3 linked regions of the Xenopus tropicalis genome follow. The protein of the gene in region 1 purifies or fractionates together with the protein of each later gene. This does not show direct contact. Links are inferred from orthologs where the notes say so. Each region holds a gene or a part of one and is shown in the gene's direction. Other genes may lie near its edges.

Region 1 (3,655 bases):
AATAAACTTTGTTTTCAAACCAGTTAAATAATCCTATTGGGTTTAATTAATGTTTTATAAAGACCCCTTATCTGGAACACTGTTGGTCCCGAGCATTCCTGATAACGGGTCCTATTCCTGTACAGTGATCTATTGTATGCTTCATTATTTTTTTTTAATAAATATTGGCATTTAGGTGTGAAGGAAAGAATTCATTTAAAACCAACACAATACCTATACAAGTAATACCTTTTCTTTTAAACGTCATCTGAAATTATTTTGGGGCAGCGGTCTTACTAATGTGGTCTAATATTTGGCCAACTGGAACTTTTTACCAACTTTTTTTAATTTGTTTACATAGCATTAACAAGTGTATTTTCTTGCGTTATTTAAATTTGATATTTACTTGTTAAATGTAAATTATTTTTACTGCAGACCTTCAGTGTTTCAACAGCCTGTTATATTTCTGGGAGCAGATGTAACACACCCCCCTGCTGGGGATGGCAAGAAACCTTCCATTGCAGCTGTAGTGGGCAGCATGGATGGGCATCCCAGCCGCTACTGTGCCACTGTGCGTGTTCAGACCTCGCGCCAAGAGACAACCCAAGAGCTGCTGTACAGCCAGGAAGTTATTCAAGACCTTAGCAACATGGTTCGGGAACTGCTTATTCAGTTCTACAAGTCAACTCGGTTCAAACCCACTAGAATTATCTATTATAGAGGAGGTGTTTCTGAAGGTCAAATGAAACAGGTGAGTGAGTACAGATGTTTGCAGCTTACACTCATGCTATTTATATTTTATATAAACGGGTATATTGGTGAATGCGACACAGTCCTGCCTTTGACTTTTAAGGGAAAATTTCGACATTAGCTTATTTGGTTGGTCTTATGTAGAAACAGTGCATGCACACTATCTTATTTTTTTTACATATGTACTGGACTTGTCATATTAAAAAGGAATTAAAAAGTTATTTCCATTTTTATGCTCATGGTGTAGTGCAGCTTCTCCTTGGATTGTGGTTCTCCCTCTGCTTTCCACAGTGCAATACACAGATTCTCTGCAAAGCAGGGCGACATCAAGTCCTAGATGTAACATTCCAATCAAAAATGCTTCTCATAAATGAAAAACTTCTACTTTTACCTATCCTATTCAGGTGGCATGGCCTGAGCTTATGGCTATTCGAAAGGCCTGCATCAGCTTGGAAGAAGATTACAGGCCTGGAATAACATACATTGTTGTACAAAAAAGGCATCATACAAGGCTTTTTTGCGCTGACAAAACAGAAAGGGTACGTCACTCTTAATGCTAAATAATGTATTTCTGAAATTTTGTTTTTGTTTTTTTTTCCCAAAAATACTGTTTCTGTTCTTATTCTCTTCCAAAAACACTTGCTGCATGCTGGTGGTTAAACATCTGCAGGATTTTTGTATTTTCTTTTCTAATGCAAACTATATATTTCTCATAGGTTGGAAAGAGTGGCAATGTGCCAGCAGGAACTACTGTTGACAGCACAATAACACATCCATCAGAGTTTGATTTCTATCTCTGTAGTCATGCTGGGATTCAGGTACTGCAAATGCATGTTGTTTAGCTACCATACTATCTGTCTTGGCTAAAGTTCTTTTTATAGAGCCATAGAGGTAAAAATGTCCCAAATATTCTTTGTCACAAATTTCCCATTTAACATCAGCATGAAATGCCATAAACCATATGCAGCACATTTTCCCATTCTGCAGGTTGGGAAATGAATTCTGACTACCCCTATTCTTTCTGAAAGCAGGGACCCAAAGCGCTGTGTGTGTGCCATGAGCTTAATCTGTCTCTTGTGTTGAGTAATTGTGGTACAAAAATATTGGATGATATAAAGTTCCAGTTTTATGAGATATAACTTTGTTGTATTTCACAACTCTTACTGATTTTAAACTTGAACAAACAATAGAAACACGTGTACCGGAGCTTAAAATTAAAGGCTAATTAAAAGTTTCTCCTCCGGGGAAGAAGCACCCAAAGCCATACCTGCCACCCCTCATTGACTTTAATGGAAGCCATGTGACACCTCTTGTACAGGATGGTTTTTGGCCTGAATATGCACATTTGTATGAACATCACTGTGTGGCATTTTCCCTATAGTAAAATGGGCTTTATAGTGGCTCTGGTGTATAACACAAAAATGTTGTCTGGGTATCTGAACAGATTGGTCATAACTTTGAAATGGTACAGCTGCTTAAAATTGATTAATCTTGTGTACTTAATACTCTCTACCTCTAGGGAACAAGTCGTCCATCTCATTACCAGGTTCTCTGGGATGATAACTGCTTCACTGCTGATGAACTCCAACTGCTTACCTACCAGCTGTGTCACACATATGTGCGTTGCACACGATCTGTTTCGATCCCTGCCCCTGCCTACTATGCTCGACTCGTTGCATTTAGAGCAAGGTATCATCTTGTGGATAAGGATCACGACAGGTAAGACTCTAGTTTCAATTGGAATTGAATATGTACTTATGTACAGCAGGGAAAATAAGTATTGAACATGTCAACATTTTTCTCAGTAAATCTATTTCTAATGGGGCTATTGACATAAATTTACACCATATGTCTTTAACAACCCAAGTAATCCACACATACAAATAAACAAGTCTTTAGATTAAGTTATGTGTAATAATAAAGTTGAATGACCCAGGGAATAAGTATTGAACACATGAAGGAGGTCCAAGAAACCTGCTTAAATCTGTCAGTATTTAGAAAGCAATCCTGCCCCCTATCAGTGCAAATTTATATCAGCTGGTTTAGTCCTAATTGATGGCCTGTAAAAATATCTCATTACCAAGTTATCACTCAAGGAGCATGCCATGATAGGTAAAAGCAAAGAGCTCTCTCGAGACTTTTGCAACCTTATTGTTGAAAAACATACTGATGGCATTGGTTACAGGTGTATTTCTAAGCTTCTGATTGTTCCAGTGAGCACCATTGGAGCCATAATCCAGAAGTGGAAAGAACAGCAATTCATTCCAAATCATCCACGACCAGGTGCTCCGCTCAGTATTTCTGACAGGAGTCAAAAAAAATAATCAGAAGAGTTGTCTAAGAGGCAAGGATCACTCAAGGAGCACTTCAGGAAGACCTTGAATTAGCAGGTACAGTTGTTTCAAAGAAAACAATAAGTAATGCACTCAACCAGTTATGAGTGCTCACCGTGTAAGAATCTATTGCTGAAGAAAAAGCATGTTGAAGCTCGTTTAAGGTTTGCTGCACAACATTTGGACAAGCCAATGAAATTCTGGGAAAATATATAGTCTGGTCAGATGAGACCAAAATTGAACCCTTTGGATGTCATTGCAGACACCATGTTTGGCGGAGAAAACCATACCAACAGTGAAGTTGGAGGTAGCAACATCATGGTATGGGGTTGTTTTCTTAGCATATGGTACTGGCAGACTTCATATAATTGAAGGAAGATGAATGGAGAAATGTACAGAGACATTCTTGAAGAATCTGCTGCCATCTACCAGGATGCCGAAGATGAAACAAGGGTGGACATTTTAGCAAGACAATGATCCCAAACACACAGCCAAGGAATCTCTCAATTGGTTTCAGAGAAAGAAAATAATGCTGCTTGAATGGCCCAGTCAATCACCAACTTGAATCCAATTGAAAATCTATGGAAAGAACT
Region 2 (3,655 bases), on another chromosome or scaffold:
GTTTGTAACCCATGGAAATTCCATGGGTTCTCTAGTCCTGACTCATGAAACTGTGTAGCAGAAGTCAGTTCTATTGCAGGTTTGTTAATCAGTCATCCTTTGTCTCTAATTATGCAAACTCTGTAGCGGCATCCAGATGTTTTTCCAAAATCTGACACAGAGCAGATATTCCCTGCCTCGACCATTACAGTAATAATCTTGTGTGTTTGCAATTTCTTGCCCTAGGTGCTATTTCAAGTGGTTTCAGGCTTGAAGATTCTCCTTTTGGTTCTTATGACTTTATGAACAGCAGTAACTCTCCATCCAGCCCTCCAGGATCTATTGGGGATGGCTGGCCTAGTGCCAAATCGCCAAATGGCTCCAGCAGTGTCAACTGGCCCCCTGGTAAGCAAAACCCCTGATATTAACTTCATTTTTGTTTGAGTTCCGTGGTCTACAGCTGTAGCTCTTTACACTGTTCTGTGTAGAAAGACTTAAGGCAGTCTGAAATGTTGCATTTGTCTAGAGGCTCTTGCAGCGTTGTAATAGACTTTTTAGCATATATTGTGGTGGATGGTGCTCTGCTTCTGGACTTGTAAAATATGAAAACAAGTCATTAGGAAAACATTTTCAAATCGGCAAGTTCTGGCCATACACTGTAGGGTTGAATGTTATGGCAGCCTTATGCCCGAAAGGTATCTGCCCAGTTTTCAGCAGATTGGGCAGGCTGTCATAGGGCACCATGCTTGGATGGGTAAGCTTCTGGTTTGCTTTGATGGGCTGGGTTGGCAGCGTTTTTGGGCCCTTGTGTGGTCACCATTATCCTCAGGGATGTCCCTAAAGAAGTCCTGCCGTTTTTTTTTTAACAATATAGACCTACGTTTTTGGATTGTGCATATAACAACCTGTTTCAGTAGGATTTTTTTAAAGTTTTACCGTCTGATATTTTTAGAATTCCGTCCGGGTGAGCCATGGAAAGGATATCCAAACATTGACCCAGAAACTGACCCTTATGTCACTCCTGGCAGTGTCATCAACAATTTGTCAATTAATACTGTGCGGGGTGTTGACCACCTCAGGGACAGAAACAGTGGTATGTATCTCTGAATTCTGCAGCTGGGTTTTGTTTTTGCCAAAGCCCTCCCTTGCTCTCAGGGTCACTTCTATAAAAATTAATGCACACAATTAATATTGTGCTTTTTAGGGTCATCCTCATCTTTGAACACCACGCTGCCTTCAACTAGTGCCTGGTCCTCCATTCGTGCCTCCAACTACAGTGTCTCCCACAGCAGTACAGCACAAAGCACTTCAGGTAAGATGTCCGAGTACTTTCTATGCCGTTTGAATTGCTGCCTGTGTGCATGAAAACAATCCCAGAAACACCTGCTGCTATACCCCCAGAATGAACAGTTTATATTATGTTAAGTGGCCTATTAAAGAATCTTCCCAAACTGGAATAAATATCAGTAAATTTTGGCCTTTTACATCTTTTCCCCTGAGCCGCCATTTAGTGATGGGCTGAGTGCTCCCTCAGAGATCAGCTGACAGGAAATAATGCAGCTCTAACTTTAACAGGAAGTAATTTTGAAGCAAAAGGCAGAACTCTGTCCATTCATTGGCTGATGTGGCCTAGCATGTATGTGTGCCTTGGCTTGTTTATGTGCACTGTGAATCCTATGATCCCAGGGGGCGGCCCTTAGTACTTAAAATGGCAAGTTTCTATTTAGGATTACCCAATAGCACACACTACTAAAGTATATTTTTATGAAAATGATTTATTTAGCTGAAGCAGGGTTTTACATATGAGCTTGTTTATGCAGTGTATTTTTATAGACCTACACTGTTTGGGGGGTATAGTTTCCTTTAATGAAAACACTTCTGATTTATCTGGGAAACCTGCAGGGCCTTTGTTTTCCATATCAATCAGAGCACAGGCCCTGACAGGTTTAGTAACACATAGTATATCACATTCTTATTTCTCTTTACAGTAAGAAACAGTGACCCCAAACCTGCTTGGTCTCCTGGTTCCGTCGCTAACACTTCTCTGGCTCATGAACTGTGGAAAGTCCCTTTGCCATCTAAAAACATCAGTGCTCCGTCCAGGCCTCCCCCAGGGCTGACTGGTCAGAAGCCACCTTTATCCACCTGGGATACCAACTCCCTGCGTCTTGGTGGGTGGGGAAGTTCTGACTCAAGATACACACCAGGCAAGTGCCCCTCGCTTAGTACCTGCTGATACATGCATTGTTCAGTGAAATGCCCATCCTGGCTTCAATTCCTGATAGTGTGTTCCCCCTGCCACCTGTGTGCATTATGATCTTTTCTGACTGACTAGTCCTTCAGTGACAGATTTCTGTAGCCTTTGCTATCTTGTAGGAGAATAGCACTGTTACAATGTGATAAGAAAAGTGATGACCATGGCCTCTTTATAGAAACTAGGTAACAGGGAGATGTTAAATGTACAGACACAATTTTAAGCCGCATATTGATAATACATGTAAGCATCCATAGTGATTTCTTTCTGTGCTGCTTGCTCTGGTAATTCTTTTTCCTTTCTGCACCTGTTTCATTACTGATCTACCAGTGGTATAAGAAATACATTCATGCACCAGAACCTTGCTCCGGTTGGTTCTAACTCTATACTTGTGTCCTTGCTAGGTTCTACCTGGAGTGAAAACAGCTCAGGGAGAATAACAAATTGGCTCGTTCTGAAAAACCTAACACCTCAGGTCAGTGGGGTTTTGTACTATATAGGTTTCATGTACTCCTGGCAGGCTGTGTTCTAACTCAAGTTCTCTTGCAGATTGATGGCTCTACTCTGCGTACTTTGTGCATGCAGCATGGGCCTTTGATAACATTCCACCTGAACCTGCCCCATGGTACTGCTCTTGTCCGTTACAGTTCCAAGGAAGAGGTAGTGAAGGCACAAAAGTCTCTGCACATGTAAGTTTGTTGTGTAATACTGTACGAAATTCACTAGCACATTCTCATGGATTATATTGTAACAATAATTCACTTCTAACTCCATAGTTCAGATGTTGGCACTAATGTCTTTTTGCCAAACTGCAACTTCCCTTAGGGGAAAGGGTAAGCCAGGACCAATGGTGCAACCCTGCAACTGATCCAATAGTGGCTGATGTGTTAGGCTCACTTGGTTGGCTGGGTTCCCAATAAGAATAGCTTTGATTTGCCTATGCACATTCTACCTCATCTAGTTGATCTGATCTTTCAGATCTACAGATTGGTCACATTGGGATACATTTGCAGTACTGTCATTGGCCCACTGTATTTTCCACCTGGCTAATTCAAAACGGAGTCCAAAAGTGAATCTGCTGGACAAAAGTAATAATTTATGTCCCATACAAGGAAACTAAAAACTAGGTGCGAAGGGGTTAACACGTTACCAAGATGTCTGTGTGTTGGTTTAGCAACCAAAGTGAAACGGCCATCCACTCCAGTTCAATTGAGGGAAATACAAATTAGCAGTTTGTGTCATCAGTGAGCATTGGGAGCCCCATAGAGGCTTAGTACTTTAAAAATGCACTTTGTGATCCGCCCACTATCTCTCTTCAAATTACATATCTAGGCGTTTAAATTACTCTTCAATCATTTTATGATACCAATATCCTTACATTGATTACTTTATTTTTTTAATTTATTTTGAAATTGAACTCTT
Region 3 (3,655 bases), on another chromosome or scaffold:
TCAGCTCCTCTTGCAACAACAACAACAGCAGCAACAGCAGCAGCAGCAGCAGCAACTCCTTCAGAACCAGAGGAAGATCTCACAAGCGGTCAGACAGCAGCAGGAACAGCAGGTAAGAGGCGGCACTACATTCACAACTGCCATTCCCCATAATACAGAAACGGCTGGTCTATCTTGTCTTTTTATTGATTTTGGTTTTCTTTTAAGCTTAATAGGTTTCATTATTTTTATGCCACATGTCTGTTATTTTACTAAGTTAGTCCCCAACACATGTGGCAAAAGGCTTTTACATGTATTTATTACTTTTTTTGTCCCTTATATTACCTTTCAGCATTGCCCCTCTCAATATCTGTCTCTTGGTTCTGTTCATATCCTGCGTCGTTATCTTCTGAGCTGGTTAATTCCTTTTGTATATTTAAAGGACAAGGAAAGGCTAAGTCCACTTGGGGGTGCCAAAATGTTAGGCACCCTCAAGTGACTTAAATCATTTACTTTGTACCCCGGGCTGGTGCCCCTGTTAGGAGAAAACAGCACCAGCCCGGGGTACCTGTAGAGAGCTCTTCCTCCTTCCTATTCGCTCGCTAGCCAATTGTCCCGGACAAACGCATGCGCAGTAGAAAAGACAACTTCTCTTTTAAAGTTCGGCTTTTCCGTCTACTGCGCATGCACACGCGATCGATCAGGAAGGAGGAAGCGCTCGCTGCTTCCCCGGGCTGGTGCTGTTCTCTTTGTACAGGGGCACCAGCCCGGGGTAGAAGGTAAGCGATTAAAGCCTAACATTTTGGCACCCCCAAGTGACTTTGCCTTTCCTTCTCCTTTAAATATTTTTTACATTTGTTTGTATAGCCCCTTTTTTGCCACTCTGCTTTTAAGGTAGATTGAAATGTACAATCTAGGTCTCTAAAAGCTATTTTATACCTGAATTTTCTTTTCTCGTATTCAAACAACCATGATGATCTGCTTGGCATTTTAAGCAATTTTGGTGATTTACCTTTTGTGCCTTCTATTTCCCAGCAGATAGCACGCATGGTAAGTGCCCTACAACAGCAGCAACAGCAACAGCAGCAGCAGCAACAGAGGCAGCCAGGAATGAAGCACTCTCCCTCTCACCCTGCTGGACCCAAAGGTCACTTAGATGCTGTTGGACTCTCAGACATGCAAGCCAAAGGGCACATGCCATATGGATCTGGTAAGCCCTTGATCGTGACTTGTTTGTTTAATTCTGAAATATATAGAATGCTTGACACAGAGTACCAAACCCTTTCCAGCCCTCTCTCCCCAGAATGTTTACAAATAAATTCTCACTCTTCTGCCCAAGAGCAACAGAGATTTATATGTAGTAATAGAGGACGCAGACCCCATGGTCCAGCCCCACCTTCTCTTGTGACTGTGGAGTCTGCTTCCTTTATTTTAAAGCCTCTTTACAGCAGTAGTGAAGCTACCCTTTCAAATCTCCTTACATATCTCTAGGGTAATTCTTTTGTTATGAAGGTGCCTTGCAACTGTAGGTGTTCAGGGTGAAAACACACATAGCTACTAGTAGCAGCTATTTTTTCACGGCTACTAATTGCCAGAAAATATCCTGCCATAGACAATACTGAGAATTGCCTCTGCTAAAACACATGTAGAGATTGTTATCAGTAAATGTCTATTTAAGTAGCCACATCAAGTAGCTGCTACTAGTAGCTCCATGTGTCTTCCTTAGTGCTCACCAAGAAAACACATGGTTGCCAACAAAGGTGAGGGTTTTGGCTACAGAAAGGCACAGAATACAGCAGCCCCTTGACTAGGGTTAAAATCCTGAATACTTTTTAGTTAATAGTTGCATTTGTACTTTACTAATCAGGATTTAGGGACAATATTTTTCTCTGTTACCATTCATAGGTGGAGTTGCTAAATTGCTTAACTTATTTTCCAGAAACCTTCAACAATCTAGTGGTCAGAAATAGTCTTCGATTGTGCTTTTGTAGGTGTAAATACTGTATGCTGTAGGCTGCATAGTAGCTTTCACTGACCCTGGCAAGCATACATTTCCATACAAAATATTTTGTAGATGCAGTAGAATATGATAAATACAATGTGTTTCTTTTGGTTTTCAGGTTTTGGCTCAAGTGGGATGGATTATGGTACAGTAGGTAAGGAGGCGGGAGCAGAGTCTCGATTTAAACAGTGGACATCCATGATGGAGGGGCTACCGTCCACTGTTTCTCAAGATACCAGCCTGCATAAAAATGGTGAGTGGCTAAAAAACTGCACAATTTGTCCCTTATCTTCTAATAAATATTTGTGGTTAGGACAGTTTTATTTTGTGTGAATAATAGTGAAGAATATGGGCACCGCACAGATCACCTCACTACATTTTTTTTGTCTTTCTTGTTACCAGGCTCCATTGCACCCCCAGTAAAAAATCGTGGAGGTTCCCCCTACCACCAATATGACATGTTGTCTACGGATGCTTTGGGAGGGCATGGGGGGCCAACAGCTGAGAGCTGGTTACCTGCCAAATCACCCCCTTCAAGCAAAATTGGAAACAAGTCAATCAATGCCAGCTGGCCCCCAGGTCAGTCATGAATTGCCAGAAACTTACCACATGCACATTTATGTTATGTTTCTTGATTTATATGTTTTTTTTTAATTTTATGTCTGCTACATTCCATATATTTCATTCAGGTAAGGCTAAAGAGCTCTACTAGTTACCCGAGCTTACAGTTTAACTGAGAATTTTCCTTACTCTAGTTTGTTTCTATGTAGCCTTGCTGCCTTTGAACACTTGTGTAGAGCAAATACTGTGTACTGTGTTTGAGGAAATTCTCTGGGTCCTTGCGTTTAGTAGGGATAAGAGTCCTGACTTGCATTCCCTAAAAGTTATGTATTGTTGCTAATGGGCGATTAGCAACTATATTCACTCACTCTTAAGTAAAATTTTAACTTTGGCCTTCAGTGGTTCTTTTAAGTTTCTGGTGATTTGAGCCAAAGCTGTTTGTCTTGGCTTCAGCGTCACACTGTTTGTTTTAACAATGTGTCTCTAATCTTATTGTAGAGTTTCAGCCAGGAGTGCCATGGAAAGGGATCCAAAATATTGATCCAGAATCTGATCCTTATGTTACCCCTGGCAGTGTGCTTGGGGGTCCAGCCCCATCTCCCATTGTAGATACTGACCACCAGCTACTGCAGGACACCCCCACAGGTAAATTTTATTATGTTATTATTTATTTGATATTTTCCTTACTGCATTATATATGTACATTTTAGAGTACTAAGTGACAATCTGATGCTGTCTTTTAGGGTCCAATTCTTCCCTCAACACCTCGCTGCCTTCACCTGGTGCCTGGCCCTTTAGTGCCTCTGAGAATATCCATAGCACTTCAGGTAAAGGCTGTATGAACAAATAACAGATAAGCAGTCATCGTTAGGGGTGGGCAACCTGTAGCCCATCAGATGTGGTTAAACAGTCTTTGGCTGTCAATGGGATTTTGAGATCTGTAGTTAAATAACATCTAGTGTCAGATATTCACATTACTTTTAGCTAGTGATTTTTCCTATCTTAGACTCATCATTGTAAATGTTTCCCTATGGTGAGGTTTCATGTTACCAGCTTTAACCTTCCTTATATAGTGGTGCATTCACTTTTGTGTCTTACAAGAGAACTTGTTTT

What was found.
Region 2: the proteins of ago4 (region 1) and tnrc6a purify together in Homo sapiens (co-immunoprecipitation; 4 studies listed by BioGRID and IntAct, with this or other methods). This does not show direct contact. The link is inferred for Xenopus tropicalis from reciprocal best matches to the Homo sapiens genes AGO4 and TNRC6A.
Region 3: the proteins of ago4 (region 1) and tnrc6b purify together in Homo sapiens (co-immunoprecipitation; 3 studies listed by BioGRID and IntAct, with this or other methods). This does not show direct contact. The link is inferred for Xenopus tropicalis from reciprocal best matches to the Homo sapiens genes AGO4 and TNRC6B.

The regions. Positions count from the first base shown.
Region 1 is NC_030678.2:81,877,646-81,881,300, forward strand, and holds part of ago4 (protein argonaute-4), read left to right. Parts: intron 1-414; coding exon 415-730; intron 731-1,133; coding exon 1,134-1,268; intron 1,269-1,445; coding exon 1,446-1,547; intron 1,548-2,248; coding exon 2,249-2,448; intron 2,449-3,655.
Region 2 is NC_030685.2:20,149,114-20,152,768, forward strand, and holds part of tnrc6a (trinucleotide repeat-containing gene 6A protein), read left to right. Parts: intron 1-225; coding exon 226-384; intron 385-931; coding exon 932-1,072; intron 1,073-1,183; coding exon 1,184-1,291; intron 1,292-1,967; coding exon 1,968-2,186; intron 2,187-2,637; coding exon 2,638-2,708; intron 2,709-2,782; coding exon 2,783-2,922; intron 2,923-3,655.
Region 3 is NC_030680.2:121,719,987-121,723,641, forward strand, and holds part of tnrc6b (trinucleotide repeat-containing gene 6B protein), read left to right. Parts: coding exon 1-112; intron 113-1,014; coding exon 1,015-1,189; intron 1,190-2,099; coding exon 2,100-2,234; intron 2,235-2,383; coding exon 2,384-2,560; intron 2,561-3,040; coding exon 3,041-3,187; intron 3,188-3,285; coding exon 3,286-3,369; intron 3,370-3,655.